2 linked regions of the Nothobranchius furzeri genome follow. The protein of the gene in region 1 interacts with the protein of each later gene in a pairwise test. Links are inferred from orthologs where the notes say so. Each region holds a gene or a part of one and is shown on either strand. Other genes may lie near its edges. The genes, in order: rassf5 and rassf2b.

The links.
Region 2: the proteins of rassf5 (region 1) and rassf2b interact in binary tests that used the Homo sapiens proteins (3 or more experiments, as listed by UniProt). The link is inferred for Nothobranchius furzeri from reciprocal best matches to the Homo sapiens genes RASSF5 and RASSF2.

The regions. Positions count from the first base shown.
Region 1 is NC_091743.1:51,033,992-51,050,220, reverse strand, and holds part of rassf5 (ras association domain-containing protein 5), read left to right. Parts: intron 1-6,343; coding exon 6,344-6,471; intron 6,472-9,464; exon of another isoform or gene 9,465-9,600; coding exon of another isoform or gene 9,601-9,747; intron 9,748-16,229. UniProt on the Homo sapiens protein: Potential tumor suppressor. Seems to be involved in lymphocyte adhesion by linking RAP1A activation upon T-cell receptor or chemokine stimulation to integrin activation.
Region 2 is NC_091757.1:55,229,781-55,243,098, forward strand, and holds the start of rassf2b (ras association domain-containing protein 2b), read left to right. Parts: upstream 1-7,083; 5' UTR 7,084-7,145; coding exon 7,146-7,442; intron 7,443-8,139; coding exon 8,140-8,213; intron 8,214-10,973; coding exon 10,974-11,049; intron 11,050-11,257; coding exon 11,258-11,409; intron 11,410-11,790; coding exon 11,791-11,906; intron 11,907-13,318. UniProt on the Homo sapiens protein: Potential tumor suppressor. Acts as a KRAS-specific effector protein. May promote apoptosis and cell cycle arrest. Stabilizes STK3/MST2 by protecting it from proteasomal degradation.

The sequences.
Region 1 (16,229 bases):
CAGAAATAAAAACAACCACCCATATCACCTATCTGGTCATTCCTGTCTTAGTACAGGTTGTGATTGCACACACAGGAACATCTCAGGTTACATTAAAATGAAGCTGATGAGAGAAAACATTCTGGCTTCATATAAAGACAATAATGAACAGAAATGAGAGGCAGTGTCCTTGAGTTGCTAAATATTTTCTTTCTGCAGCCGCTGCTGTTGATCTCTGCAGCAGTGGATGTTAAAGGGACCATATCGTGGAAAATCTACTTTTTTGTAGCTTTTTGCCATGTGATATTGTTATTTCCTCATGAAAACAATCCCCAAACCCATTTTTGACTGCATTCATGTATTTTCCTGTATCAGCTGCAAATTTGGAGTTTTCCTTAACTTCTGCATCGGGGGCAAAACACCACCATAAAGACTGTGCATCCTGTCTACTTAGATGCATGCAATGGCCAGCACAGGATGTCTGTGTTAGGCAGCTATTGTTTTATAAGATACATTATAGTCTAGTGGTTAAGATGCTGGTGATTTTTTTTTCTTTTGGGGTGGGACCATCGACATATACATATATGGACAATGGGTTTCCATAGACTCCAATAACACGTTTTTGAAGAAAAATGGGAGGTAGCTACCACCGCCATTTTGACCGTGTCACAGGTTCCGTCAAGCCCAGACAATTCCACAAAAGGGAAGAGAGGTGGAGCTGAGGGTGGGGCTGTAAGGCTGGGATCAACTGATGACACCCAGTCGAACTAGCTACAAGCTAACCTGAAGCTAACCCAAAGCTAACGCAGAGGTGGGAGCTAAGCTAACGGAGGTAGCAACCTAGCTACAACCGGAGTTAACTGTGCACAACACCAGAGCTTCTGAGTCAGAGATACGCCGGGCTGACCGCTGGGTAAAACCGGGTGGAACACAGAGGTCACCCGAGAGCTCAACAAGCCGGCAGCCGCACAGCAGACAAGCGCCGCTGCGATCTGAGATGCGCAGAGCTGCCGCTGGGGAGAACCGGGTGGAAAGGTTTCCATCCCAGAGCTCCACAAGCCGTCAGCCCGCGCAGCACACAGAAGCCGCGATCAGAGATGCGCCGAGCTGCGGGGAGGGGAGAACCGGGTGGAAAACATCTGTCTCCCGAGAGCTCCACAAGCCGATAGTCGGAACCCAGCTCCACCAACACGTTATATTTCAACCCATTTTCTAAAGTGCAGCATTATGTTAAATGCACTGGGTTTTACCCTATTACATTTAAATTTCATGGTTAAACAGTACATGTTAAAATCTAAGCTCAGCTCGGCAGTGACCTAAAATACATAAATATAATTTTACTTACTGAAATAAATGAAGTGGAGACTCCTTGGATGCTCTATTAGTGCAATTAATGCCACAACAAGTCATTTTGTCCAACAATTGCACAAAAAACATCCAAAAAAGGATACGCAAACGGCACAACTAATGGTCTAAGTTGAGAGACTGAAAATGACCGAACAGTTTTCAGGCGAGGCTGAGGCTCAGACTGAAGCCTTTCCCCGGAGCTAGCTCTGTGGTCACGTGGGTCGGATGCTCATTAATTGTACAGAATTTTAAGCTTTTAATACACTTAAACAGAAGAGTGAGAAAAAAATTCACCCCCCTCAGAGTTGTCATGAGTGTAAACTAGATCATTTAAACCAAAAACATGTTTTGGTACCAGGCTGTAAACGTGTTTATTTATGCTGTGAAATTGGTATTTTTAACATGGGAGTCAATGAGGATTAGCTCACTTCTGACACCAGCCCCCAGCGGATGAGGGTGGAACTGCAATTTATTTCACTTTCGCATTGGACTCAATTTCTGTCCCGCATTGTGGGGGCTTGGGTGGGACACACTTAGATGTTAGATGTGCTAACCACATATCGCCACTGGGGGTGCCAAATTATCATTCTTATGAATCGACAATGGCACCAAATTAAAAAGACTGAAAAAAGCAAAATACACATATCAAGAAAAACACACATTAGCAACAATGAAACATGATCCCATCCACAGAAGCAGCTATTTAAATTATAGCTTAGATTGTCCTCTTTACACTAATATGAGTACCATTACTCTACCTGCAAAACTCATAGAGCAACGCAAAGCAAACAAAACTAATGTCATGAAGTCAAAAGCATAAATTCAATGTTACATTTGCTGGTTTTTAGTCATAATAATCTGTGTTATTGTAAAAAAAAAAACTACTTGGTTCCTGTCATCCAATGTCCCAACGTCACACTAAGGTGATTCATGACGGTCTTGTGCTTTTTTTTTAACTGCTTTAGAGGGTTTACACATCTCTGATGCAGCATTCCATAATTTTCTGGTTTTTCATAATTAAAAAACTAGGGATGGACAGTATATCGGCATCAATATCGGTATCGGTCGATGTTAGTCATTTTTTTAACATATTGGTATCGGTTCGATAAATAAAACCGGGCCGATATTAACAACCAATATTTTTTCCATCTCGTCTCCATTTGATTGCCTGTTTCAGAGGGTGGGTGGGGGTGGGGGTGATGTGTAATTGTTTAGTCATGTCAACAGTGAATGAAATCTTCTCAGAAACGTAAATGTGTGTGGTGTGTGTACATAATAACATAAATTCAGTTTTAATAATTTTCATTCTATACAAAATCTGCTGATTTTAGAAGCATTGATGTCAGTATATTGGTATCGATATCGGCCATAACAGTGATCTTTATATCGGTTATCGGTATCGGCCCAAAAATGTCATCTCGGTGCATCATTAAAAAAAACTACACAAGGTGTACTCAGCTGTTCTAAAACAAAGAACAGTGAACAAAAAAAAAGATGAAGTGTGGAGAGCTTCCGGTTCAGGGTGAACATCCTGAACTGAGCTGAGCTGAGACTCCACCCGGTTTTGGTCACAAAACCTTTGCACCCAAAGGTTCTCCTATTCTTTGTAGTGGGGGGGATCCAGTGCACATGCACCAGTTAGCGTAGATCAGTGGTAGCGTTTGCTGCGCCAGAAAGTAACAGGAAATATGTCACAAGATGATTCGGTGAAATAACATTTTTAAACTACACTTAAATGCAGATTATACACAGCACTTATAGTCTGTATGATGTATCGATCACTTAGTTTATTTTTCATGTTTTTTTTTTTGTATCCATTTGTGATTCCTATCTTCTTCTTGTAAGACTAGTGGAGTGGCATCTTAGCGCCCCCCAATGGACCATTTCACCATTGATGAAAACCCATTTAACCTACCCCCGTTGAGGTCATTAGCATCTATTGTTTGGGAGTAGTATTGATTAGATGCTAGAGAGTGCGATCTAGTCCTATACTGAAACTTGGAATTAGGTTCAGAGCTGCATTATAGCTGCTGGAAAGGTGAAACCTGAGTCCTCCTCTTTTATTTAATGTCGGCTTTTCTCATTTGACATAGAAGTCTTCCTGTACTCCTCTCTCAAACCATCTGTCTTCTCTGTTCTGAATGTGTACCTTTCTCACCTTCAGTAGCATCAGTATTCCAGTCAGAATTGATTAAACTCCACCAGGAGTTGCGTCAGCAAATGGCAAAACAAGATGAAAGGCAGGTGCCTTTGACCAGCTGACTATCAAGGCCAAAACAACAGCAAGCTTGACTAACTTGTAGATGCGTTTTGTCGGAGTGGGCGGAGTTTCACTGAAACAAACGTTTAAATTCAGGCAGAATGACATCTCACAGTAATATATTCATATATTTTCCTACCTTTGCTTTCAACTATTTAAAATAGCATGATATGGCTCCTTTAATACAACCATCACAAAAAGATCTTTACATGCGTCTCCTCCATTGGACTGGTGGGAGGGACTTTTTCATCCGTCACTCTGCAACATCGTCCTGGATCTCTCTCTGTCTGGGAAATTTGGGTTATTGAATCTTTTGTGATCAAATGTGGGTACTCCAACCCATGTTTCAAAACAAACAAGTGGCAACCCCTCGTCTGTTTTCTTTCTTGACTAATGTGGACGATAGAGATTGAAGACTATTTTCATGCATTTGAAACTCAGAGTGACCAGTCGTTATTTGAATAGATCAAGTAATGTACTTTCTCTGTCAGCCTCCCTCTGAAGGTCATTCTTGTCCAAGTCTCTAGATGAGTTGGCTATTCTTTTGAGTTTTTTACATCGAAACCCCCGACATCTCCAGAAGTTGGATGTTCTAAATTAATCAACTTCTTCATCTGACAGCTTGTGAAGCAACGTACTTTCCAGAGAGGAGACAAGGGAAACTCCCCCAGCTGGTTCCAGTGAACTGTAAAGGTCCAACACTCCATTCAACAACATTAGACAGTTAAACCTGATTTTATCTCCACACTTTCTCTTTCACTCTTTCTTGTGTCGACATGCCCGAAGCTTGGCTCAAGTTTTACTTTTAACATTCAAAACGAATCCCACAACTCATCGACCTAAACAGACCGTAAATCCATGCTAATTAATTTCTTGAAAGGTGGCAAGATGAGCGTAAATCTGCCCCAAAGGTGGAGGCAATAAAAGTGTCTGTCCACATTATAGATGGATGGAAAGACAAGGACAGGAAAGGAGTTTCTCTTTTCCCATTCCCATGGTGGCTTCCTTTGCCTCTGTTTATCTGCAGTGACCTCTAAACTGTCCTGAGCGGAGCATCCCTTATCTGAAGCCTCTCCTGTTCTTGACACATCCCACCCTGTCATGGAGGTGATTCACCCTTTCCCTCTCACTCTGGATCTCTGCTAACCACTCAGTCAGACACACATCATTAACAGGAGCTTCACCACTAGCTCCCTCTGCCTTTACCCCTCTTTACCACAGAGTTGGAAAAGCTACAGTTTTTTTAATGATTTGAATAAAGACATACAGTAATCTAATCTTTTATTAATGTAGCATTCATTTCCAGGAGATCAGGTGTTTTTAGGGAGGCACTGGCCATCAAATTCCTCATTACCATGGTGACGGGAATGTAAGTAATGCATCAGTGCCTCCCATTCTTTCCAGAGCCACACTAAAATCAGCCAAAAATTACAAATATAATAAAAAACATCCCAGGAAAAACAATTCCAGAAGATCCTGTACAGCTCGCTCTCCTTCTGTTAGCATTAACCAGTGATTAGGTACTTCATTTCAGACTGGGTTTGAGTCTGAATTCAAGTCACGTTTGTGAGTTGACTCAAGGAGCATGGCGATGACTTGCACTTGGACCTGAACTTGGACTTAAGCTTGGACTCATACCCTAACATGTGGAAATGTGGCGCGACTTGTTTGAAGTATCCAACATAACAAGGGGAGTCCAGACGTGTGGTGCAATTTGCTTTAATAGATTTCTTCTCAGAGTGAGGAGAAATCTGCATCAGATGTATGAAATGCAGGAGGACAATAGAAGACAAGACTAGGACATCTGAATGTCCCTACATTACCACCAAGCTAACAAAGCAGCATGCAGCAAAATAATATAACATGCTTAACTGAAAACAATAATCAACATGCCACCTGTCCACTTAGGGTATGTGACATGTAACCAGAGTTGTCCAGTAATCTGACCTAAGCTAATGTTAGCATCGTTAGCATGCTAGAATTGACAATAGCAATTTCACTTAATTTTCTGGGTGTAAATGTAGCAAGTGGAGGTTAAACTGGAAATCTTTTGGGACTTGGATGTGAATTGTGAGACCAAGGGACTTGACTGAAACTCAACTTGGATTTCACTTGGACTCTAAAACTAGGGACTCAAGTGTGACTTGGACTCGAGATATGGCGACTTGACTACAAGACTGGCGTTAACATGCCACCAGCTGGGGAGAAAGGAGATCAGTGCGAAAGTCTGTGACCACAACTAGCTCTGAGAGGCGTAATGGGGAACTAGCTGGAAAATGTAGAACAACAGACTGGAACTAATTTGGTTTATTCCTGTATCTCTAAAGCAGGTGAGAGCTGAACCTGCCAACCTTTTTCCAGCTTTGAGTGTTTAAGTGGAGTCGATCTATTGCTGTGGGACATTATGTTTGTCAGCAGCCATTAGCTCCTTGATGTATCCATTATCGACCTTCTAATGCACCTGTACTTGAAGAGGCTTGAACAGAAAAGGCAGCTACATTAATGAGATCGCAATTTATAGATCTCCTAATACATTAATGGTCATTTAGCCGTGGTATCTCATTTTGTTTATTTGTGTATCTTCAGTGTGCAGGAATAAGTAATTTATGACTGATTTCTGCCACTAGATGGAGCCATTGTCTTAATTTCTAACTCACCCTCTTGCAAGTCACAAACCATCTTTATAGTCTCTTAGAAGGATAACTGTAGTGTATTTGTTATGATAAATACATTATATTGTTGTGTTTTGTTATGTAGACTGCAGCTACACCTGCCACCTGGAGTGTAAGAGTCATGTCCAGCTTGACTGCTACCAGAGGAACAGAGAGCCACAGGAAAGCCCACATCCTAGAAGCCCCTGCTCCTCCACGGCTCCTCCAATCAAGGTGAGTCCTCTGGAGACTGAGCATTTATTTAGAGAAAAGAATGGAAGTGAAGACCTTCCACACACTGAACTCAGTCCACTCATGTGCTATTTTAGTTGCTTCTGCCTCCACCCTCCTCCTCCTCATGTTTAGTCTTTCCATCATCTCTCTCTGCTGCAGGTTTATTTAGTTATTACCAGATCATAATACCCTGACTTCCTTGTGTGTTCCCAAATAGAGGAAAACCAATTAGGTTAATCTGTGATTTCTCCTGGGACCGTCATGGCAACGCATCTGTGGCTCAGCAATTTCTCTCTCTCTCTCTCTCTCTCTCTCTCTCTCTCTCTCTCTCTCTCTCTCTCTCTCTCTCTCTCTCTCTCTCTCTATCTCTCCATTCTCTGGAAACAACATTAAGACTGATTCGTAATTCTGCAAATTAACCACAATAATCTAGTGTTTCGTAAAGATGCATCATCTCCAAAAACCTACGCTTGGTTGAACCAACCTGCTTGAGCCTCTGAGGTATGGCTGCTTAGGTCAAATTTTGAAATGACTCGTCAGCGAAGACCTAGTTCACATGGCAGACATTTAACATTTGCGTACAAGAAACCACACACGTTATGACAAAAAAATCATGGAAGTGACAGTTTTGGTCATACTGTGTCCAGCCAAACGACAAAATCTGCACACAAATTGCGGTCAGACAGGAAATCTCACTAAAACCTCTCGATATCAAGCGTGAATTAAGAGTAAATAAACTTCAACGGGAAGCATGCTTGTTTGTCTTTAACACTGAGCAAACTACAGTTCAACATGTTCAATATCCCCAATTTATAATGTTAGCAGTCGCGGCGTGCTTCCCAGCAGACCAGATCGCTCCTAACACACCACACACGGCAGGATTATCTGAACTCCTAAAGACTGTTGGATGGGGAGAATCCTGGTGATTATCTTGTCATGTGACCCGGTCTTTACATGTTCAATGTGAGCCCAATAACGAATAAATTGACTGAGCCACATTCATATGTGTGCGGCGGCCATATTTAATGAGGTGAATTCCAAATATTATTCAGATTTAGATACAATGATTATTCTCTGACATATTCATTAGTACCTTGTGAATCATGAGATATTTTGCTAACAGACACACAAAACCATCACTTCCTGCCTTTTGTACTTTAGCAGTAAAACAACCCTGGTTTTATTACTTAATGAAAGTTAAAGAACCAACAAATAAAAGCTGGATGCTTACAAAATGAAACAGACAGCGAGAGGACTCTGTAATGAAAATAAACATGATGTATATGTTTTAAAGTGAACTCTTAGGTAAAGAACTTGTGTTCAGGGATGTAAAAAGACTCAAATGAATCTTATATTTGTGCAAACTGATCTCTGTGAGCAAAATCAGTGTTGACCTAATTACACACGAATCAGAATGCACGCCGTCTGTCCTGCAGGTATCTGAGCTCAGTGATTGAGGCTTGTATTCGTGCTCGCTGTGGCTTGGTTCATACTGTCTACCACAGCAGCTCTGCAGACCAAAGAGAAAAACATGACAGGTTATTTCCTGCAGTTCTGTTTTTCTGCCTTCGCTGTAATCTTTCAGTAGATGTGTGTGTGAGTGTTTCCCTCTATTCTTCTTTTGCTTACTGTGTATCTCAGCAAAAATTGATCCCCAAACTGCACAAGTCGATGCACCAGGCAGGTTTTATTGACCTGAAACCAGCAGGCACGGTCGTTTCCTATGCATGCGTGTTGATGTGTAGCACCCCGCCATGCATCGATAGGGCCTAGGAGAAAATCCGGAGATGGTCACTGAAGGCAACAGATTACAAGATCTTCCAAATCTAAGTTGTCCCTTTTTTCTGTGCCTGTGCAGATTATTTGACTCATTTCACAAAAGCAGCTTGTGCCATCGTTGTCATGGATGGCTGGGATGCTAGCTGCTTTAGGACAGGGGGAGGTGGCTGCCAGAGTGGAAGGGCAGATCATGTGGTCAATAAAAGGTCAGAGGTCGCTGTTAACCCACCTCTTCACCAATATCATGATAATTTTGAGTTGTTCTAGATTGTGTTTAATATACTAACCTCTGGTTCTGGTTTCCAGTCAAGCATGGCGTGCAGCCATGCCTCCCTCACCCCACTGCTGCTTCCTGTCTACATATTCAGTGTAAACGGCATCTTTGATCGGCTTCATGTCTCTAACTCATCGACGTTTCTCTTTCTGTTTATTCACGCCTCTCCCTCTCTCTTGCTTTCGTCTTCTGTGGGAGGAAGTGGCCGTGCTCTGCAGGGTGCAGTTGCCTGCAGGAAGAGAGACAGAGAGAGGAGGGAGAAGAGGGAGAAGGGGGAGGGTACTCTCAGCCTGATAACACACTCAACCACAGATGGTTGTGAGAGAGTGAGGGAGAGAAAACGGTTGCAGAGGCAGAGAGGAGCTTGTGTGGGAGGAATCACTTTCTTCTCGTCAAAGCAATGGAGAGAGGAGTCTTGTCGCTGCAGACAAAATAAACTCAGCCACTGCGTGCTGTTGACTCCAGACGTGGACGGATGCCCTAACAAACCAACGCTGCTTCTGAAACCTGGACTTGAGTTTATTCCTTTGCAGCCGTGCCGCTGGACCAAAGGAGGATGTGGTTTTGCATGAATGCCTTTACTTGTTTTGTGAGTAGAACAGGTGCTCTCAGGTGTGCAGGGCTAACCTAAAACCAGCCTGTAAACTGACTCCGCCACACTGACGTCTGCCTGCATGAAGGACGACCAAACTATGTGTGAATAAGTGCAAGTGAGCTGCAGACAGCCAGGTCCTCCTCGGCCTGTTTTTGACACCAGCATCAGAGCATTCTCGAGCACACGCTCATCAGGAGGAAGTGACACGTCTGTGCTCGTTCTCATATTTCCTGGTCTCCTCTCCAGTGGCACTCAAAGAGCCGATTTCAAGCCAATCTCACCTGCTTCACCCCTCGCAGGTGGAACTTTCTGAATGGCGTCGGCGGAGGAGCACTAAACCGCTTGTGGATGAGCAAAGGAAACTTTGTGTCACTTCATTCCGGGACAACCCATCAGACGCTTGCTCCAACCTGTCAACGCGCTGCCTGGGCGCTGTTCTGGTGCTATTCTGGTGCTGGTAGCTGTCCTCGTGGACTTCTCCATGACTGTCAGTACGGTGCTGACCACCTCCATGACCGGCAGTAACAGCATGAGCAGCGGGTACTGCAGCCTGGATGAGGAGAGCGAGGACTTCACCTTCTTTACCGCTAAGACCTCGTTCTTCCGCAAACCCAAGCATGCAGCCAAGGTAAAGATCAGAATTGCACCGATGGAGGATTTCATGACAACAAGGAAGCCTTAGATTGATGACAAGTGAATGTTTCAGTGAGAACAGGAGAGAAGCTGACATTTATTTCATAAAAAATTTAAAATAAGTAACATGTAGCTCGAAAGCAGAAGTCAGGAGAGGAAGTGGTGATGTTTGAGCAGGCCTTTAGGTGTGTGTGTGTGTGTGTGTGTGTGTGTGTGTGTGTGTGTGTGTGTGTGTGTGTGTGTGTGTGTGTGTGTGTGTGTGTGTGTGTGTTGTGAGAATGTAGGAGGAGGTTACCGTCAGACATCTGCATTGTGTAACTGGTTCATCAGCCTTAGTGCTTCAAGCTGCTCGTTTATCAATCAGACTCGCATAGATTCACTAGGACCAGATCACTTTGTGTGTGTGTGTGTGTGTGTGTGTGTGTGTGTGTGTGTGTGTGTGTGTGTGTGTGTGTGTGTGTGTGTGTGTGTGTGTGTGTGTGTGTGTGTAGGGGGTTGTTCACCTCTAAATGCAGCCTGCAGAGATAATGTGTGTGTTGGTTAATGATCTTAACTGCCAGACTCCATATTGGTTTCCTTTCTACATTGAGTGTGTGTGTGCATGCATGTGCACATGTGTGCAAGTGTGTGTGTGTGCACGCACGTGCATATTTGCAAAAATTGGTGTCTGCTTACCCATACTTTGTAGTTACCATAGCAACTCCTGGTTTGTTTTGCATTTTCAAAGATCTCTCTGATCTGCATTGACACATAATTTTGTAAAACACCACTAGCGGCCCTTTTAGATTGCTGATTGTTTACCAGAGAGGTTCAGTGCTTAACGGCTGATTGACTGTCAGTAAAACGGTGCAGTGGAAGGACAGGTGACGGCGGTCCTTTTGATGCGTGACATCCTTGTGCTGTCCCTGTCCTGCTCTCCCTACAGAGTCGGACTCGGAAAAGCTCTGATCTCTGAATAATTGACCAGCTGTGTTGTCAGCATGCAGAGTTAGGGTTGCTGCCATGCTGACACAAAGGGGTATAGAGGTTAGGCAGTGTGGCCTGTCAGCATCCAGGCTGATTACCCTGAAGCCAGAGACAATGGTGGGAGCTAAACATCTGACCTGTTAGCTAGAGAGTAGGAGTGTTTCAGCTGCTTCAGAAGGAAGCGTATTCTAATCAGCTCTCTGTTGTGGCTTTGTGTTTGAATATGATAAAGAGAAATTCAAATCTCTTCTCTGTGACTGGAAGAAGCATCACTGTAGTCTGTAAAACTCTAAATAAACGTGTTGCAGGGTCTTTAACTCACCGACAAAAGTGATCACATCCATCCAGGCAGTGGAGTTCAGATCCTCTGTTCTTCATGAATTATTTCCAGAGCTGAGCCTTTTGCTCCAGATTAGCCAGCTGGAGAGAGCACGTGTATGTGTGTTGTGTAGAGTGAATGAATTACATCCATGTCGACTTGAAACAAATGCAGAGTCGCATGTCATTTTTGGCTCGCAGTACACATCAGGCCAGATGTTGATGTCTGGTGCTACTTAGATGGACTAGCTCCTAGCTTAATATTTGTGTGGCACAATTTAAAATAAAGGTTATCCTGACAATCTGACACTTTTACTTAGTTGTCAAATAAGTTGGATTATTTTTTGTTTTAGTAATAAAAAGTTATTGGAGGTAGAAGAATGCTGGACCATTGAAATAATTAGCTTTAAATGTAAAAAAAAATAGTCACACTTAGGGGTATTAGCATAAATCTGGTGATACGATATATACCACGATACAGGAGAGACGATACAATATATCACGAATGTATTGCGATACACTAAGCCAGATGATATTTTTTAGACTGAATTTATTGTAGGAAATGTTCATAAAGAGTCCAAACTTAAACATAACATATTTAACATGAAATATCTGAACCATAATAGAGAATAAAATCCATTGCACACTGCTGCCAACTAGAGGTCAGAGTTTGAATTGCACAAAAAGAAAAAAAATGTGACGGGAAAAATAAAACAAAAATATGAGGATGTTTAAAAAAAAATTAAAATTATTCCAAGTCATTATTTTACCTTATTCGTCTCGTCTTCCTCCGCTTATCCGGGTCCGGGTCGCGGGGGCAGCATCCCAACTAGGGAGCTCCAGGCCGTCCTCTCCCCGGCCTTGTCCACCAGCTCCTCCGGCAGGACCCCAAGGCGTTCCCGGACCAGATTGGAGATATAACTTCTCCAACGTGTCCTGGGTCGACCCGGGGGCCTTCTGCCGGCAGGACATGCCCGAAACACCTCCCCAGGGAGGCGTCCAGGAGGCATCCTGACCAGATGCCCAAACCACCTCAACTGGCTCCTTTCGATCCGGAGGAGCAGCGGTTCTACTCCGAGTCCCTCCCGAATGTCCGAGCTCCTCACCCTATCTCTAAGGCTGAGCCCGGCCACCCTACGGAGGAAACTCATTTCGGCCGCTTGTATCCGCGATCTCGTTCTTTCGGTCATTACCCAAAGCTCATGACCATAGGTGAGGATTGGGACGTAGATCGACCGGTAAATCGAGAGCCTGGCTTTCTGGCTCAGCTCCCTCTTCCCCACGACAGATCGGCTCAGCGTCCGCATCACTGCAGACGCCGAACCAATCCGCCTGTCGATCTCCCGATCCCTCCTACCCTCACTCGTGAACAAGACCCCGAGATACTTAAACTCCTCCACTTGAGGTAGGACCTCTCCCCCGACCCGGAGGTGGCAAGCCACCCTTTTCCGGTCGAGAACCATGGTCTCAGATTTGGAGGTGCTGATCCTCATCCCAGCCGCTTCACATTCGGCCGCGAACCTACCCAGCAAGAGCTGAAGGTCAGAGCTGGATGAAGCTAGGAGGACCACATCATCCGCAAAAAGCAGAGACGAGATTCTCCTGCCACCAAACTCGACACACTCCACACCACGGCTGCGTCTAGAAATTCTGTCCATAAAAGTGATGAATGACCGTGTCCCCAGGGGCACCCTGTGGGGGACGCTCCAGGAGTATGGGGTGGGTGGCTTTCTGTTAAGGGCCATTCAGTCCCTTTACCAGAGGAGCGTGAGTTTGGTCCGCATAGCCGGTAGTAAGTCGGACCTGTTCCCAGTGAGGGTTGGACTCCGCCAGGGCTGCCCTTTGTCACCGGTTCTGTTCATCACTTTATTTTACCTTATTAATATTGTTATTCTAATGTTATTATTTTCATTGTTTTGTAGCTTCTAGTGCCTCAAATTATTTAAAAGCTGTAAAATAAAATATATTTCATTGCTTTTTTCTTGCTGTGGAAATTACAAAATATAAAAAAACACATCTGGTTTATTTTTCCTATATTAATACAGTATGTTTTGTCCAACCTTCCAGTGTCAAAGTTTTGCAGTAGTCCAGATTCTGATCTGTCACTTTTTTATTTTTGTCCAAAAGACAGTAAATAAATAGCTCCTTTTAGGTTTCTTGGACACACAAAAAATAAGCTCTTTTTTTATTATTATTTTCCATGGAACATTATGTATCAATGTATTTTCATGGCCATGATTGACTTCAGTTCTCACCTACAAAAATTCAAGAAACTGTATCAGTTCAAATCAAACATACGTGTTGTTATAATGTCTAGTCAGTTCAAGCCAAAATAAATAACAGGGAATGGCACCACGGTGGTTCAGTTGGTAGCTCTGTGGCCAAGCAGCAAGAAGGTTACAGGTTTGAATCCCAGTTGCATCCTTTCAGCATAAAGTTATTATGTTCTCCTCATGCATGCGTGGGTTCTCCGGGTTCCTCCCACAGAACAAAAACATGCAGGTTAGGTAATGTGTAGTTATTTATCTCTGAGTGCTCCTGTGATAAACTAGAGACCTGTCTGACTCGGTTTTAATGTGGCAGCCTGAGATCATCAGTGGTCCCCATCTGGCCACCCTTTTCTGGACGTGCCCCTGCAACAGCACTTCCTAGACTACATTCCATTCCATTACATTCCATTTATTTGATAAAGCACATTTAAAAACAGCATGTGAGCTGACCAAAGTGCTGTACAGGGGTAAAAACATATAGGGTTAAAAGAATAATATAAAAGAATGAAACAACTAGAGCAAAACACAAAGAACCATGAGAAGTCAATAAAATCAGTAAACGAACAGTGTAAATAAACCATCGATAAAATAGCTAGGTAGTAAAAGCAAGAGAATAAAAATAAGTCTTTAAGTGGGACTTAAAAACCCCAATGGAGGAGGAGATTCTGATATTCAGTGGGAGGTCATTCCAAAATTTTGGAGCGCAGACAGAAAAAGCTCGTTCACCACGGGTTTTGCAGCGTTGACGGGGAATCTGTAGTAGGTGTAGGTCACCTGAACGGAGAGTCCTGCCTGGCACATAAGGAGTGAGTAACTCGGATATGTAGGGTGGTGCTAAGCCATTCAGCGCCTTAAAAACAAACAATAAAATTTTTAAACGTATGCGGTAGTGCACAGGAAGCCAGTGAAGTCTTGATAAAATTGGAGTGATGTGCTGACGACGGCCAGTATTGGTCAGAAATCTTGCCGTCGTATTTTGTATCAGCTGAAGGCGAGATAATGCGGCCTTTGAAATACCAAACAGAATTGCGTTGGAGTAGTCCAACCTTGAGGTGATGAAAGCGTGAATGGTTGTCTCGAGGTGGCGCCGATTCAGAATGGGTTTTAGTTTGGAAAGACGTCTCAGCTGATAAAAACATTATTTAACCATGTGATTAACGTGAGAGTCCATTTTTAGAGCCACATCCATTTTAATTCCAAGATTAACAATTGTTTGACTAATTTTAAAAGGAAGAGCAGAAAAATCAGGAGCGGAGGAAGACGAGCCATTAGGAGTAAAAACAATAAACTCGGTCTTAAAATCATTCAGCAGCAAAAGATTTGCTGACAGCCAGTCTTTAACCTCACTCAGGCAATCAAGGAGCGGCTGGATGGAGGTAAAAGCCTTCAATGGAACATAAATCTGGCAGTCGTCCGCATAAAGATGAAAGTTAATTTTAAACTTCCTGAAGATTAGTCCCAGTGGAATAATATAAATGCTAAATAAAAGGGGGCCGAGGATAGACCCCTGTGGAACGCCCCAAGGAAGAGCAGCAGAGGGAGATGAACAGTCGTCCATTCTAACTCTAATAGACCTGTTGTCAAAGTAGGAGCAGAACCAGTCAAGCGCGGATCCCTTAATGCCGACCAAATTCTCAAGGCGGGACAATAAAATGTCATGGTCCACCGTGTCAAATGCAGCTGAGAGGTCCAACATCACCAGGGCAACATGGGAACCGGAATCAGTGGCTAAAATAATATCATTAAAAACCCTGATGTGAGCGGATTCTGTGCTGTGATATTGTCTAAAACCAGACTGAAATTTATCCAAGACCCCAAAGTTGTTCAGATGGGGCATGATTTGATTATAAACAGCCTTTTCCATCACTTTTGACAAGAAGGGGAGCTTTGAAATGGGGCGAAAGTTCCCGAGGTCAGTTGGGTCTAGGCCAGATTTTTTCAGTAGTGGTTGAAGCACGGCATGTTTAAAAACAGAGGGTATAATTCCCGAAACAAGGCTGGAGTTAATAATATTGAGCACATGAGGGGCTACCACTGGAAGAACCTCCTGGAAGAGTCTGGCTGGTACAATGTCATCAGGACATCCTGATGGCTTCATGGAAGATATTAATCTCTCCAGGGCAGGCAGTGTAATCGGCTCAAAATGGTCAAAGCATCCGGTACAAACTGATACGGGTAGCAGAACATCTGCAGGGGAAATGATTAGACTCCTAATATTGGAGACTTTGTCTAAGAAAAAACTTTAAAATTGGGAGCAGAGATCATCTGTGATTGCAACTGTAGGAGAGTAATCACTCGACAAAACTGCATTTAGCGTTTTATATAAAACCCTCTGGTTCCCAGAATGGGTAGTAATAATGCTGGCAAAGTATTTATTTCTAGAATTCCTGACTGCTTTCTGATATTCATCTAGTGCATTTCTAAAAAGTTCATGGGAAATGGGATACAGATTACATTTATGCTTTCTTTATCATTTCCTATTGATACCTAAGAAGAAGAAGAAGAAGAAGAAGAAGAAGAAGAAGAAAGTATCATTTCTATAGCGCCTCTCAAGATAAAAATCAAGAGGCACTTCATAAAAACAAAAAATGTAAAAATATAAAAAAGAATTTAAAAAATTATTAAAAATATATTTAAAATGAGCAAAAAATGGACAATTGTGATTCAAAATGTACAGAAAGAGAGAGAGAGTGAATAGGAAATAGGGAAATCAGTGGATCCAGAGGAAGGTGGAATAGGTAGGGAGAGCAGAACAAGGAGAGGGTGATGAAGATCATCAAAAGCCATCCTGAACAGGTGTCTTCAGCTGCTTTTTCAATTCAATTCAAAGATACTTTATTAATCCCAGACGGAAATTAGAGTTTCAGTACACACAATTCTGAGATCAGACATACATACATAGGCATAGACACATGACAAGAAT
Region 2 (13,318 bases), on another chromosome or scaffold:
CTTTCAGTTATTTTGAAGGGGGCTCTACCTGATGATTATATTTCTGTGTAAAGAGTTTTATCGTTTTCAGTGTTTGTTTTTATACATCATTTTTATGTTTTTGCAAGCAGATATTTGTAATAAAAATCTACTTTTAATCTTAAATCATGCTGAAAAGTGCACCATCTTGTTATACTTTTTATTTAAAAGTATATATCGATTTGAAGTTTGTGGTTTAATGACATCTTTCTGCCTCTTAGGACCTTAACATATTGTATTTTTTTACTCTTTAACATTGTTTTCTGCTCATGTTACACATTACCAGTATAAATCAAAAGAGCAAGTTGAGAAAAGTAGATGTAAAGAAATCAAAAACATGTATATTTAATGTTTACAGAATATTCAGGAAGATGAATTGTGTAAACTAATTGTAACAATAAAATGATTTATTCTTTGTTCTTAAAAATATTTAATAAGAAGTTAAATAATTCTGTCTTGTGTCTTTTCTCTCAGTTTAGTAATGCCACCAATTGGCCAGCAGGGGTCGATATTGCACATGCAGAGTTTAATTCGTTGGTAAACAACTCCCATCGCCTCATCAAATAACCCATCACTGGTTATTTTAGTAAATGTTTGCTTAGTAAATTTTAAAAAATGCAATGAATTGGAATACAGGTTTTGTTTTCTTCTCTGCTTTCAACAGAAAAAGACTAAGGTAAATAAAACATTAAATTTAATAATAGAAAAGGTCACAAAACTAAAATATAAGGTGAACAGAAATAAGTTACAGTGAAGCCACTTTCAAGCAACTGCACTGGTATCGGTTAACTTACCGATAACGATACCGTATTTATTTATTTCACCCCGTCAGTGAGAACTTATTTTTTGTTTATTCCTTTTATTTTAGATCGTAATATTTCAAGTCTGCTTGTTATCTCTTCTTTTGTCACGTGTCAGTCAGGTTCTATAGAAATGGGTCTTTTAGATCTAGTAATCAGGCCTGGGTGTGGTTGGTGAAACGGAGATCAGCTTTCCAAAGAATGCTGTCGGTCACAGTTAAATCGTTGTTTTAGAAGAGGGGATCGCCTTTTTTATTGAGTTTGGAAAAGTTGTCTTTTTTATTGTGAAAGTGACGTGGTTTCAATTATATCGAACCAAGGCTTAAGAAATTACCTACTGGTCTGAGTAAATGAATACAAATAAACGTCTTGTAAAACAGGAACGAACATGTTTGACTAGTTTGCTTAAACTTGAGCATTTTTCTCATTCGCAATGAAGACGAGGTCCTTTTAATAACAATGAACTGTGTGCGCGCGCGTCCTCGTTTTTCCCCCATTGTTGTCACGTTTTCATTCATTTCTGCGCGCGACGTGAACAACAAAGGCACGTCGGTCTCGCGCGACGCTTCTGAGAGCTCTGCCACAGCAGATGGACCACTTCTCCTCCTACCAGTTCTTCTGGACTCCCAGCCGCACTAGTCGCCCCTGCTGTTTGTTTCCAACGGTAGAAGCACGAGTCAACCGTTAACGGACAACCGAGGAGGAAGGAGCAGCGGAACCGAGGAGAAACACGGTAGGTTAGCCGTTAAAGGGTCCCCGAAAGTCGGCGTGATACAATCACAAGGGTCGCTGTAGCTAACTCGGGTTATTGTGATGATTTCTTTAGGAAGGTGTAACGAAATGCTCTTGAGTGGGTGGTTTATTTGTTTAGGTAGAAGAATAGGTTAAATTTAAATCGCTTATCACCAAAAAAAAAGCCTCAATGACACATTTTTACGTAGTTTAGCTTTTTCAGAACAAACCTTGAACATAAAACGACCGAAACTGCTTCTGTTTGACGCATTGGGTCCAGCGCTGGACTGACCATAGGGCATAGCGGGCAACTGCCCGCTGGGCCGACCCTTTCATCTTTTATGGGCCGGTGTCTGTTTTTTTTTTTTTTTTTCCTGGCCTCTAGTTGTTGCGGACAACTTGCCCGCGCCGCCCCACGCGACGCCTCGTAAAAGTTGGTGGATTGGCCAATTGGTAATAATACACTCTGGGCTGGACCAATAGCCAGAGGTCTGATGCACCCGCCAGTTGTTTGTGAATCTCAGTAAACAGACAGACGAGCTTAACAAAATGGAGAACAAAAAACGGAAAGGAGAAGCGGAGAAAATTCGACTAAAAAAGAAACTGGCCCTTCAGGCTGATGCTGGCACATGTGTTAAAATCTCACAGTTGTTTGGTAGTGAAGGTTCAAGTAAAATCAATTAAGGAAGTGATGGAGCCTCAGCCCAGCGACAGGTTGGAGAAGAAAAGAGGGAGGAGAAGGAGAAACCCGAGCCGGTGTTGTGCCATAAATTGACTCGCTGCCAAAAAATGATTAGCCACCGCGGGATCGCGCACGGTTAGGCAATTGCATTTCTAGACAAAATTCCCCAGGATTTCGCCCTAAAACTCAGCATATCTAGCAATATGGACATTCAGAAAGCAAAGATAACCTCTTCCGGTACTTAAACAGATGTTTATCGCGGATATTAGTGTGGCAGTGTTTGTGGCACCCTGCGCGGGAGCACGAGGACGTGCTTGTGGAAAGAGGGAGGAAGATGTGGCAGTGTGAGCATCCACAACATCCCGATTGATGATGAGCCCTGGCTACTTGTCCAAAGAGATGTTCCTTTGGCTGACTGGTTAGAGTGTTTGACTTCCACCCGGGAGTCTGGGGTCGAATCCCGCCCGGGCACTCGTTTCTCCACCTTGCCGCATTAGTTTTTCCAGTTCGGAAGTTGTTTTAAGTGTTGCTATTTGTCTTAAACGTTCACAATGAGGATATATTAATCCTTTTTGCAATATTTGCGATTGAAAGATGGTTTGTGCCACAAACTTTGTGGTAAGAACTGGCTTTCTTTATGTTACAGCCTTGATACTAAAAAAATAAATAAACAATGTAAAATGGCACCCTGTATTGAATGTAAACGTTGTATAAATGGAAATAAACAATTCTCCAGCGATTTAATTTTTTCCCCTTCCCTTCTTTAGTCCACTTGACATGGAGCCACAGTTAACTAGTTTGGGGCACATTTTTACTTGAAAAAAAGTATTTAAAATGATCAAGCTTTGGCTTTACAATGACACTGTGTAGGTTGCTATCTTTACATTACGTTGCTCTATTTAAAAGTAACAAGATAAAAGCACTTCAGCACATAAAATCAAGATTGTCACTTGCCAAATAGACTACACCCTCCAGTTTACCTATAAGAAATGCCTCAAAATATCTTTAAATTCTTTATTGATGATTTAATTGTAGACAACTAAAATGGCATTTTACTTGCCAAAAAGTGATTGAATCGCTAAGATTTTCATGGAGGCTAAAATTGACCAAATAAGGGTTTTATGTATTATCTGTTGACGTTACTGTACTCATACTGCCTACTGTGTCATCAAAAACACCCCAAAAATGGCAAAAAAAAAAAAAAAAAAAAAAAAGAAGATAATTTCCCTTGCCAAAAATTGATTACAGTGTCCTGGTCACCTGTAAAGGGTTACATTTACCTAAATATTACTTTATTTATTATCTCTTGATGTTATTAGTGCCATCACAGGATGCCGGTGTCTTTCACATTCATAAACACCTCAAAAATGGCAACAAATGATCATTTCCCTTGCCAAAAATTGATTACAGTGTCCTGGTCACGTGTAAAGGGTTAAATTGACCTAAATATTACCTTATTTATTATCTCTTGATGTTATTAGTGCCATCACAGGATGCTGGGTGTCTTCCACATTCATAAACACAGAGTCCTGGTCACCCATAAAGGCTTAAATTGGCATAAATATTACTTCATGTATTATGATGCTGGGTGTGTTCCACAATCATATTCGAATAAACGTGAAAATATTCTGTCCGAATATCTGTTTCTTGTTATAAATATAACAGCTAGAAGGATTTACAGTTAAAATAGGAGAAACACGTGACTCCCCAGGAAGGGTCGTAACACCACTTGCCTCATGCACATAAGTGAACAAAACAAAGCAGCATGGAGACACTCCGTCTCCAACCACCTCTCAGGCAGCAGCCTGCACTCCCAAGTTCTACACGTCACCAGAACATAACCAACCGCAACACAATAAAAGCAGTGTTATACAAAATGGAAGGCCTGTAGTGTTTATTCTCTTACAGTAACAACTTATCAATTTTTTGGAGGAATTTATTTGAGAATTTTTTGGTTTTTATTAATTGTGCAATAGAAAAGTAATCGCTAGATTAATCATCTAAATAGTCATTAGAATAGTCGACTTTTCGATAAAATAATCGTCAGAATAATCATTTTAAAAATAATCAGTTACCCCCTACCCTACTTTTTAGAATACCAGGATAGGAAGGATGGTGTAGGTTTACGTTTATTAGATTGATACATAAATACTACCAATAAGAAAGTGTACGTTGGTGTGTGTCAGAAACAGCATAAGGCTTAATGTCTTTTCCAAAAAAAACAGGTGATGGGCCGGTCTCCAGTCAAAATGCCCGGGCTGAATTTTTGTCCCAGTCCAGCCCTGATTGGGTCTAATAACGGAGTTCATTTAACCATGTCTGAAGAAAACGGGTTGCATAAGCAGGAGATGTTTAAGATTCCTCTCAGCACACATGGCAGCCACACAGAGGAAGTGCACATTCGGTTAATCCAAGTTTTCTTCTTTGGTTTTTGGTGTTTCTGAAGCATTTTAGTGATGGTGAGTAGTAGCCTAGTGAACCAAATTATTCCTGTGCAAATTTTATTAGTTAAAGTTGAATTTATTTAGTCTGGCTTGCCAGGCTAGAAAAACATTAGATTCCCAAAGAAAACCAGAGCTTAGGTTCACTATCATTGGAAGTTAGATCAAAATTAGACCTTTTGCAGGTTTTCAGTGATCTATAGGGCAGCTTGTTCTGTCTTACAAAGCTCCAAAGATTTGTTATAAATAACTATACAATTAAAACAATGCTACCTATTTTTACAGGAATTTGCAGCTTTGCATTTAGTGAAGAGTGACCAGCAGATCTGGCTGGAACCTGAAGCCGTTTTGGATTCGGCCTTGCAGGGTTTTTGACAACTCCAGAAGCAGAAACACTATTTTTGGCCCAGCATTGTAGGCCAGTTGTCAGAGCTGACTTTTTTCTTGGTGTTGCTATGGCAATAGTGACAATACAAGCAGTAGTGATGCAGAGGCTGGAAAGCAGGATGGTGGGTTTTGGGAGAGGACAGGGGGAGGTTTGGGGCTATTCAGGGACCGTCTCAGCAAGGGGTAAGACGTTGACAGAGGAGGTTTGGAGCCGATGGGGCAAGAGGGCAGAAAAAAGGCAACGTGTATGTGAATGAAAGGTATTCGGGGAAAAGAAGTCAGGAAGTTGGAGTGTTGGGTGAAGCTGAATGAGACGATCATGGCAGGATCAAATCAACTTTATTTATAAAGTGCTTTCACATGCCCAAAACGGACAGACAAAGCGCTGTACACCAATAAAAATCACAACAATAAAACAGACATATAACCATTTAAAATACAATAAGAAATCCCGAGTACAAGTTCTCAGTCCATATCAGTCCTTTTTCTAGAATCAGATCCAGACACATTCAAAGTGATGCTGCCCACGCAATCCCAACTTCAGTGTCCAAACGCCAGCGAGAACAGATGTGTTTTTAGTCGGCTTTTAAAGGTCTCCAGTGATTTGGCCTGCTTTACGTCGGCTTGCAGCTCATTCCAAAGACTTGGTCCGAGCGCTGAAAAGGCACGACTCCCACGAGACTTCAGGCTGTACCTGGGCACGGTTAATAGTCTCTGGTCAGCTGACCTAAGGGAACGCACCGGGACATGTCGGTGGATGATGTCAGAAAGGTATTTAGGTGCCCCTGAGTTTAACGCCTTAAACACAAACAGGATAACCTTAAACCTGATGCGATAGGAGACAGGGAGCCAATGCAAGGCACGTAGGACTGGTGTAATATGTTCAGACCTCCCGGTAGATGTTAACAACCGAGCTACTGGAGCTTGCCTAAGCCCCGGCAATATAGCGAGTTGCAATAATCCAGCCTGCAGGTAACAAAGGCATGGGTCACAGTTTCCAGATGACTTGAATGAATTGGACGTTCGTATACTGAGTGGTTATGAGCCTGAACAACGGAGCAGACTGAGGAGAACGAGGCGTAAAGCGAGTATCGGTACTCTGGGGAGTTAGTTGCATTTGGACTGGTTTCCAGAACAGCAGTCTGATGTGAAACAGAACTGGGTCAGGCATGAGTTCATCTGTTTGTATTCATATGCCGATGTTGGCTCTGTTACTTCGGTCTTCGTGTAAAATAGAAATCATCCTTATAAAGAGGAGGAGTTCTGGTTAGTAACCCTCTGGAGCCGGGCGTTGCAGATTTGCAAGAGTTAAAACCCACCTGGTTACTCCCTGTATGTCCTTCATGAGCATTTTCAACTCAGAAGCACCCCTGAAGGACTTAAATGTTCGTCCTTTTATCAAAACTTATTTAGAGCCTGAGAGGGTTAAAAGCTAAAGCTGGCCATGACTCTTGGTGCTTTTGGCTCAACATCTGGGATAAAACAACCACAACAAAACAACACCTATTTAAGAGCGGGTCAGTTAAACTGAGTCAGATTATTCTCTAGATTACACGTTGTTTCTGCCAGGTGCTAATCCCTAAAGTCAAAGTGGTGTGCTCTGTTACAAAACAACAAAAACTAACTCCTGATCATTTAGATTTTAAAGCTTTGTCCCGTGGTTTGACAAAATTGTGATCCCTTCAGCCGGGTGCAAAATGAAAACAACACCAAGTGCATCAGTTAATCCAGATTAGATCATTATCTCCAGGCCGGCAGCTACTCTGGTCTGAACCTGTTTTTGTTATCAGATGTCAGTAAAGATGCCCTGTGATACCACCTCTGTCACAGACCATTGGCATCATTAATAGTCTTTTAGTGAAGCTGCCTTTGTCAGCATTACCTGATACGTGATATTAAAGCCTAATGACTGCCATTGTGTAGGTCAGCGGTGAGCTGTTGGAGCTTCACACGACTAATATTGGTGCTGAAATATTGATGGGTCTTCTTGGCATGAGACTTGGCTGATTGATAATTAATATTTAACGTGTCCATTTATTTCAGAGATTGACAGCCTTGGGTTGTTTATCAGCACTGAATCTAATCATGTCTCTTACTCCATGGTCGTTTAAGGAAGTTTTAGGCTGTATAAGAAGTGTCAGTTTCCTGTGTGACTTACTGAGTAAAGGAGGAAGCTGTTTGACGGAAGGGGAGCACTTCCTTTTACACACTCTCCTCCCCGTTAGTGCCACGCTCGGAAGAAAAGACCCTCGTGGGCCGTTTTATACCAATTCCCACTACCTGAGGATACGAACCGTCAACCTGTTTAACCCTTCACTCTCTCTCCACACAGGAAACTCCGCCTCTCTGGTGATTCAGCAGAAATCTACGAGCTTCACTACGGTAAGGAGGAATTAAACGTGTATTCGTCTCATATTTGTGTTTCTGTTTTTAAAAACTACAAAAAAATAATTTTTACTTCAATATTTCCTTTTTTAAAATGTAACCTTATTCGCTGACACACAGACCCAGTGACCAGCTTTACTTCCTGAAATTCAAACACACATTATTTGAATTCAAACGCGTTTAGCTTTGTTTTTGCTCGTTTAATAGCTATAGACATGACGGATGAATGTTTATGTGTACTATCAGTCACGTGGTCAAAGATAAATGTTTAAGCAGCAGGTGGCTCGTGTGTCCCACACCTGTTTTAGGTCTTTCCGAAACCTTCTGTCGTGCCAAATGGACACAAAACACTCATTGAATCCTCACAGTGGGAAGGCTGAGTGCCAGTTTTAACAGCTGCATGTGTGAATTATGTGTTTATATGTTGATGGGACAGATAAGACTAAAGCAACTGCAAATGTTTAGCTTACTTAGAGATGCTTTGTTTTGGGGGATTTTGGGGCAGAAAACGGTTTACAGGAAAGCAGATATGATCTGTTATTGTTTACGGTCTGGAGCTTAACATTCTCCTCCTCTTCCTGCTGTCCTGTTACTCCTCTTCAGACTGTCCTTTCTGTGCCTGAACTCGTCATGAGGAGTCATGAGACCTAATCGGTTGTATGAACACTAACTCTGTTACTTCTTTGTCTCTCAGCTCCTCTCATGCTGGCTGAGAATGGATGAAATACGGGACGGGGTGCAGATCGGAGAGAACAAGTTTATCAGCAAGTACGGATTCATTTTCACGCTTTGCGTGTGTGTGTGTGTGTGTGCTGTTGTTGATTTGTGCGGTTTAACTTTTTATTTATTTATTTATTTTTTTGCTACAAAACAAAAATGTTTGAAATTGTTCTTCAAGCTTCTATAGAGCAAATGAAACTTTGTTGGGGCTCAAAATAACCCAGGAGCTCTGGAAATGGTCAAACACAACCCCGTAACAAAGCCCTAAAACTCAAAGTAAGGTTTGCCCCAGAGCTGTGTGCTAGTATGCTGGTTAAAGCCGGGCGGACACTGTGCGACTTTTTCACTCGTAGCACTCAGCTTCAGCTCAAACTGTACGACTTCCTCGCAGGGCAGATCTCACGAGCCATGCGCTCCCACTGTACGTCTGGTAGCAACACGTCGGACCTAAAAATATGCTAAAAATAGCAGTTTTTACACAACACGTCAGACTTTTTTGTCTTATCTGTTGTCCTTCGGGAGTGCTGCAGGAGGACACACGGGGATTTATGGGGCTTGGATGAGGAAAACGAAATAAAGAAAGTAAATCTGTGTGTTGTGATCAGTTTAATTTGACATGAACACGACAAACAAGCTTTCTAGAACAGACTTTGAGAGTAAAAAAACGTGTAGAAACAAAAATGAACAATGTGTGTTATTAGGGAAATAGCGGGGAGCGGCGTTGATGCATGACTGTGCATGCGCCGTGAGCGGTTCTGGTACTTTTTGGGTCACAGCTGCTCGCAGCGCCGCTTCAACAGTGCGATACCCTCACGAGGGACGAGCAAAATATCAAACACCAGAAGTCCGTGCGAGCTCACCATTGCTGATCAGCAGCTGGTCACGTGGTGTTAATCGCCTCTCGTACACGACACGACCGCTCAGCACAAAACTCGCCCTGATCTTCTGGATTCTCGCATGAGTTGAAAATCGGTTCATAAAAGTGAAAAAGTTACACAGTGTACGCCCGGCTTTAGCAGCCTGAAGTTAGAAACTCTTTGCAGCTGCACAGTATCCAGATAACTCGATAGGAAAGCTGTGGATCTATCTGGTATTCATTCATAGTTTGGATATTCCCAGTACATCCCAGAACACGTTTGCTCTGACATTCCTCTTTGTCATTTTCTTCAAATCCAACAAGGATGTTGGCAGTAGCTCGAGCTAGCATTAGCGGTGGCTCAGGCCAGAGTTGTTTTGCAGTTAGCTTTACCTCCACCAACATTTACATTTTCCCAGCATTGAAAATAGTTCAGACATGCAAATGTAAGTCATTGTTTATGACGTGTTAAACCCGCTCTTCTCAGAACGAACCGTTTCTGTGGCCTTTACTAATTTGCATAGGAATCCTAAGCCACGCCCATGTTTTTCTGGACCATGGGTTCCCAACTGCCCAAAAAATGAATGGGAATCTATGAGCCATTAAAAGTAATTCTCTGATCCAGTTTGATATGTGTCATGGGTTTCACACATGATGTCCGTGAATGTTTGAGACTAAAGCCCAGCCCGGCCGCGTTTGTTCCACACTGCCTTAGGAATACGGATGTGATGTCATGAGCGCATCTCCGAGCACGTGGGCGGGGAAAAAGAGCGCGGAGAAGTCTGCGGCGGGTCCATTATTAAACAAAAGCGGGAAGCTCCCGTGGGTAGGCGTGCTTTTGAGCAAGCCTATCAGTCAGCAGTGGGTGTGTTGGCCCTGTTTGGCTCTAGGCGACGAAGGCTGAAAAGACGTCCGGTTGCGCTCGGGAAAATTCAAGGCTGCCTGAATGAGAAAACTCCCAACTCGGTCCAGGCAGAGTGGAGCTGAAGCTAGTGTGTAGAGGCTATTAAGCTTGGTTTATGCTTGACGCATTCACTTCCCGCTTGGTGATGCGGCTTGCAGATGGAACATGCTTAACAACTCGCAGCGTTTATGGTTCGTGCGGCTCGTCTCTGCGGTGAGCCAATATTCTCCCAAACTGTAGGGGGCAGCATGGAGCTCTACGGCATGCATCCAACACTACACCATAGTAGAAGTAGAAATTACTGTTTACAACACGGCATTCCAGCATTTTTAACAGCGTCCTCGTCTTTTCCGACAGTGCGAGCTATTTCTCTCCAAGAATTATTAACAACATGTTGATCACGGTGATCTCTGAGAGCTGAATCATACAAATGTCTGTATTTACGAACCTCTGCCATACTAGTTCTTGCCAGTCCGCCATGTTTTTCCGCGTCCGACCGTCCGCGTGGTTAGAAAATTTCCTAGGTGCGCGGTGGAGGGGCGTGGTTGTTAAAATGATGCAACTTTGCTGCGCGGACCTCGCGGACGCGTCAAGCATAAACCAAGCTTTAGGCTCCCTCCGGAGAAGCAGGTTAGAGAGGGCACAGACGTTTTGGCGCGCTACATTAGAGACCCCAAGCTGCCCTTATTCATCAACAAGGTAGATGTGGTTCTGAGTTTAGGACCACTGAGAACTGGTGTTTTACTGCCTGGTTTATTATAAAATCAGACCCTAAACGCCTAAACAATTGCCCCTCGGGGATGATTAAAGTTTTTTTTTTTATTGAATTGAATTAAGAGATTAACACGCGCATGGCTGAGAAAAGAAAAGGTTTCCATGTTCATGCAGAATTGTTATATTGCAATAAAGCTTTAATTTAATTCTAACTACAGCAAATCAATTGAACCTCATTTATTATGTTCTGTAAAAATGTTTGCCTGACTCCGACTGGCCCGGTTCTTTGTAAACAACATTTTCTCCAGCAGTGATTCAGTTTTTCTGTCCTCAGGGCAACGGTTCTCTCACATCTTAAAACCTACAACCTTTATTATGAGGGACAGAATCTGCAGCTGCGGCACAGAGAAGTGAGTAATCACTGCTGTCGGTTACTTTCGTGTCTAAATTTCTGCTAAAGGATCCCAATGTTCTCAGTCTTTAATCCGTTTGACCTTTTTACATTTTCACTCAGTCCTTTGCAGTAAAACACACACTACGCATTACACCATCCAGTCCAAAGGGGTAGTGACAGTCCGCGGTGTGTGTTCATTGATCATAGTTTCTGCCTCCAAACAGGAAGAAGGAGAGCTGATCGTCGAGGGATTGCTAAATATCTTTTGGGGCCTGAGGCGACCAATCAGGCTTCAGATGCAGGATGACCACGAGCGAATTCGACCGCCGCCCTCTTCCACATCCTGGCACTCTGGCTGCAATCTGGACAGTCAAGAGTAAGTGAACCAGACTGATCCGGTTACACCTCAGTGACTGGAAGCAGGTCGGCGGGGGCGGAGATAGACTATCACATTTATCCTAGAAAGGTCAGAGTGTGTGAATTGATTTTAGAATGAGTCTTCATTAAGTTATTTTTTAAATGTGTTGAAATTGTTAAGAAAAATAAAATTATTGTTAAATCTACTGAGATTAATTTAGTATCAAATCAATGCTACTTGGCAGAAATGTCTGAATACAGCCTCTAGCCTTACCTGCGCTGCATACACCTCATATTTAAACTCTACTTTGATCTCTAAAATATTTTAGATATTTAAACTTTTTATGCAGCTCTTTGCTTTTGTCTTTTTAAATATTTCCCAACTGTTTTCTATTTGCAGTTCCCCCAACAACACAGACGGCCAGCAGGCCTCCACACAGACTCCGCCCACCGTGGAGGTGACGGCACCTGATGATCAGCTTGAGGACAACGGCGTCATGGAAGAGCATGCAGACGGTGAGGTTCCTTAATGACTGCATGAATAATAAAACGACTCATGCTTTTCTTATTTTATTCTCAAATGGTTCTGATCCGTTCTAAAAATCCTAGATATATGCTCTCTGTCGCCCTCTCCAGGCTTGCTGCGTAATGTCGCTGTGGTAAAATAAAATCTGTCACGATTAAAGGGACTTTACGGACTTTTGAATTTTAATGCTCGCGATTGCCCCCTCAGGCCAAAAGCGTAACGACAGCTTCAATAGTAGGCTCGTGCACGAGGCGTGCATGCTGTACGTGCACACTCCTTAACGAAAATAACAGCTGAGACAGTCCCGTGTGCGTGCGTGTGCGCGCGCGCGTGTGTGTGTGTGTGTCTGCTCTGTCTTCTCCATCCCCAGTGAGTCGTCAAGGATGGCTGCTTATACTGAGCCAGGATTCTCTGGAGGTTTCTTCCTGTTAAAAGGGAGTTTTCCTCTCCACTGTTGCTTTATGCTTGCTTAGTATGAGGATTGCTGTAAAGTCACTGACACTAGTCAGTGACTTGATGCAATTTACTGGGTTCCTTATATAGGAAACATTATTTCTGATTGGCTTAATGAACTGACCTGAATTGGAATGTTTATTATGTGAAGTGCCTTGAGACGACTCTTGTCGTGATTTGGCGCTTTATAAATAAAATTGAATTGAATTGAATTGAATTGAACTGCATGCTCGGATCATTCCCTTCCCTTGCTTGAAAAATTGTTCCAAAATGAAAGTTGAACCCACATCTTTTTTATCTGTGAATTCAATGCCGTTCGGCGAGTCTCAAATAAAAATTTGGGCGTCTTACTGTAAAAAATATACCATTAATGTAAAAACGAAACTCTAAATAAACTATGTTCACACCCAGAATCAAACCCAGGTCTTCTGCGTCCAAGGTCTTACAAGGTGAGCTAAAGCGCCAGTGACGTCCCTTGTATCTGTAACATTTATATCCTTGATGACAGCTGAAACAACGTCAAACCAAAGAACGGTTCGGAGTGAAAATGGCTATTTTGTTGCTAATTAGCAGGAAATATCTAGAAGAAAGTTCTACAGAAAGTAGCTAAGGGTCCTCAGAAATGTAGCTAGCTTTGTCACTAGGCGTTAGGAACAGAGACAAAGTGGCACTGCCTCTCTCTCTGCTGCTAAAGCTACGGATAGCAAATGCTACGGGCGATGCCTGAGCGTGAACGCGCATGAAGCAGCCTGCTCGACCCGAGCATCTCTCTTTTTCTGTGATTTTACAGAAAAACAGGCAATCACAGTAAAAATGCCAGGGCTCATTCTACAGGACCAGGGCATTGCAGGAGAATGTATGAAGAAGACATTTATTATTTCTATACATGTTTTGGCTGTCACACTTCCATAATGCCCCTTTAAAGATTCATGTTTACTGGCTTTTCTCC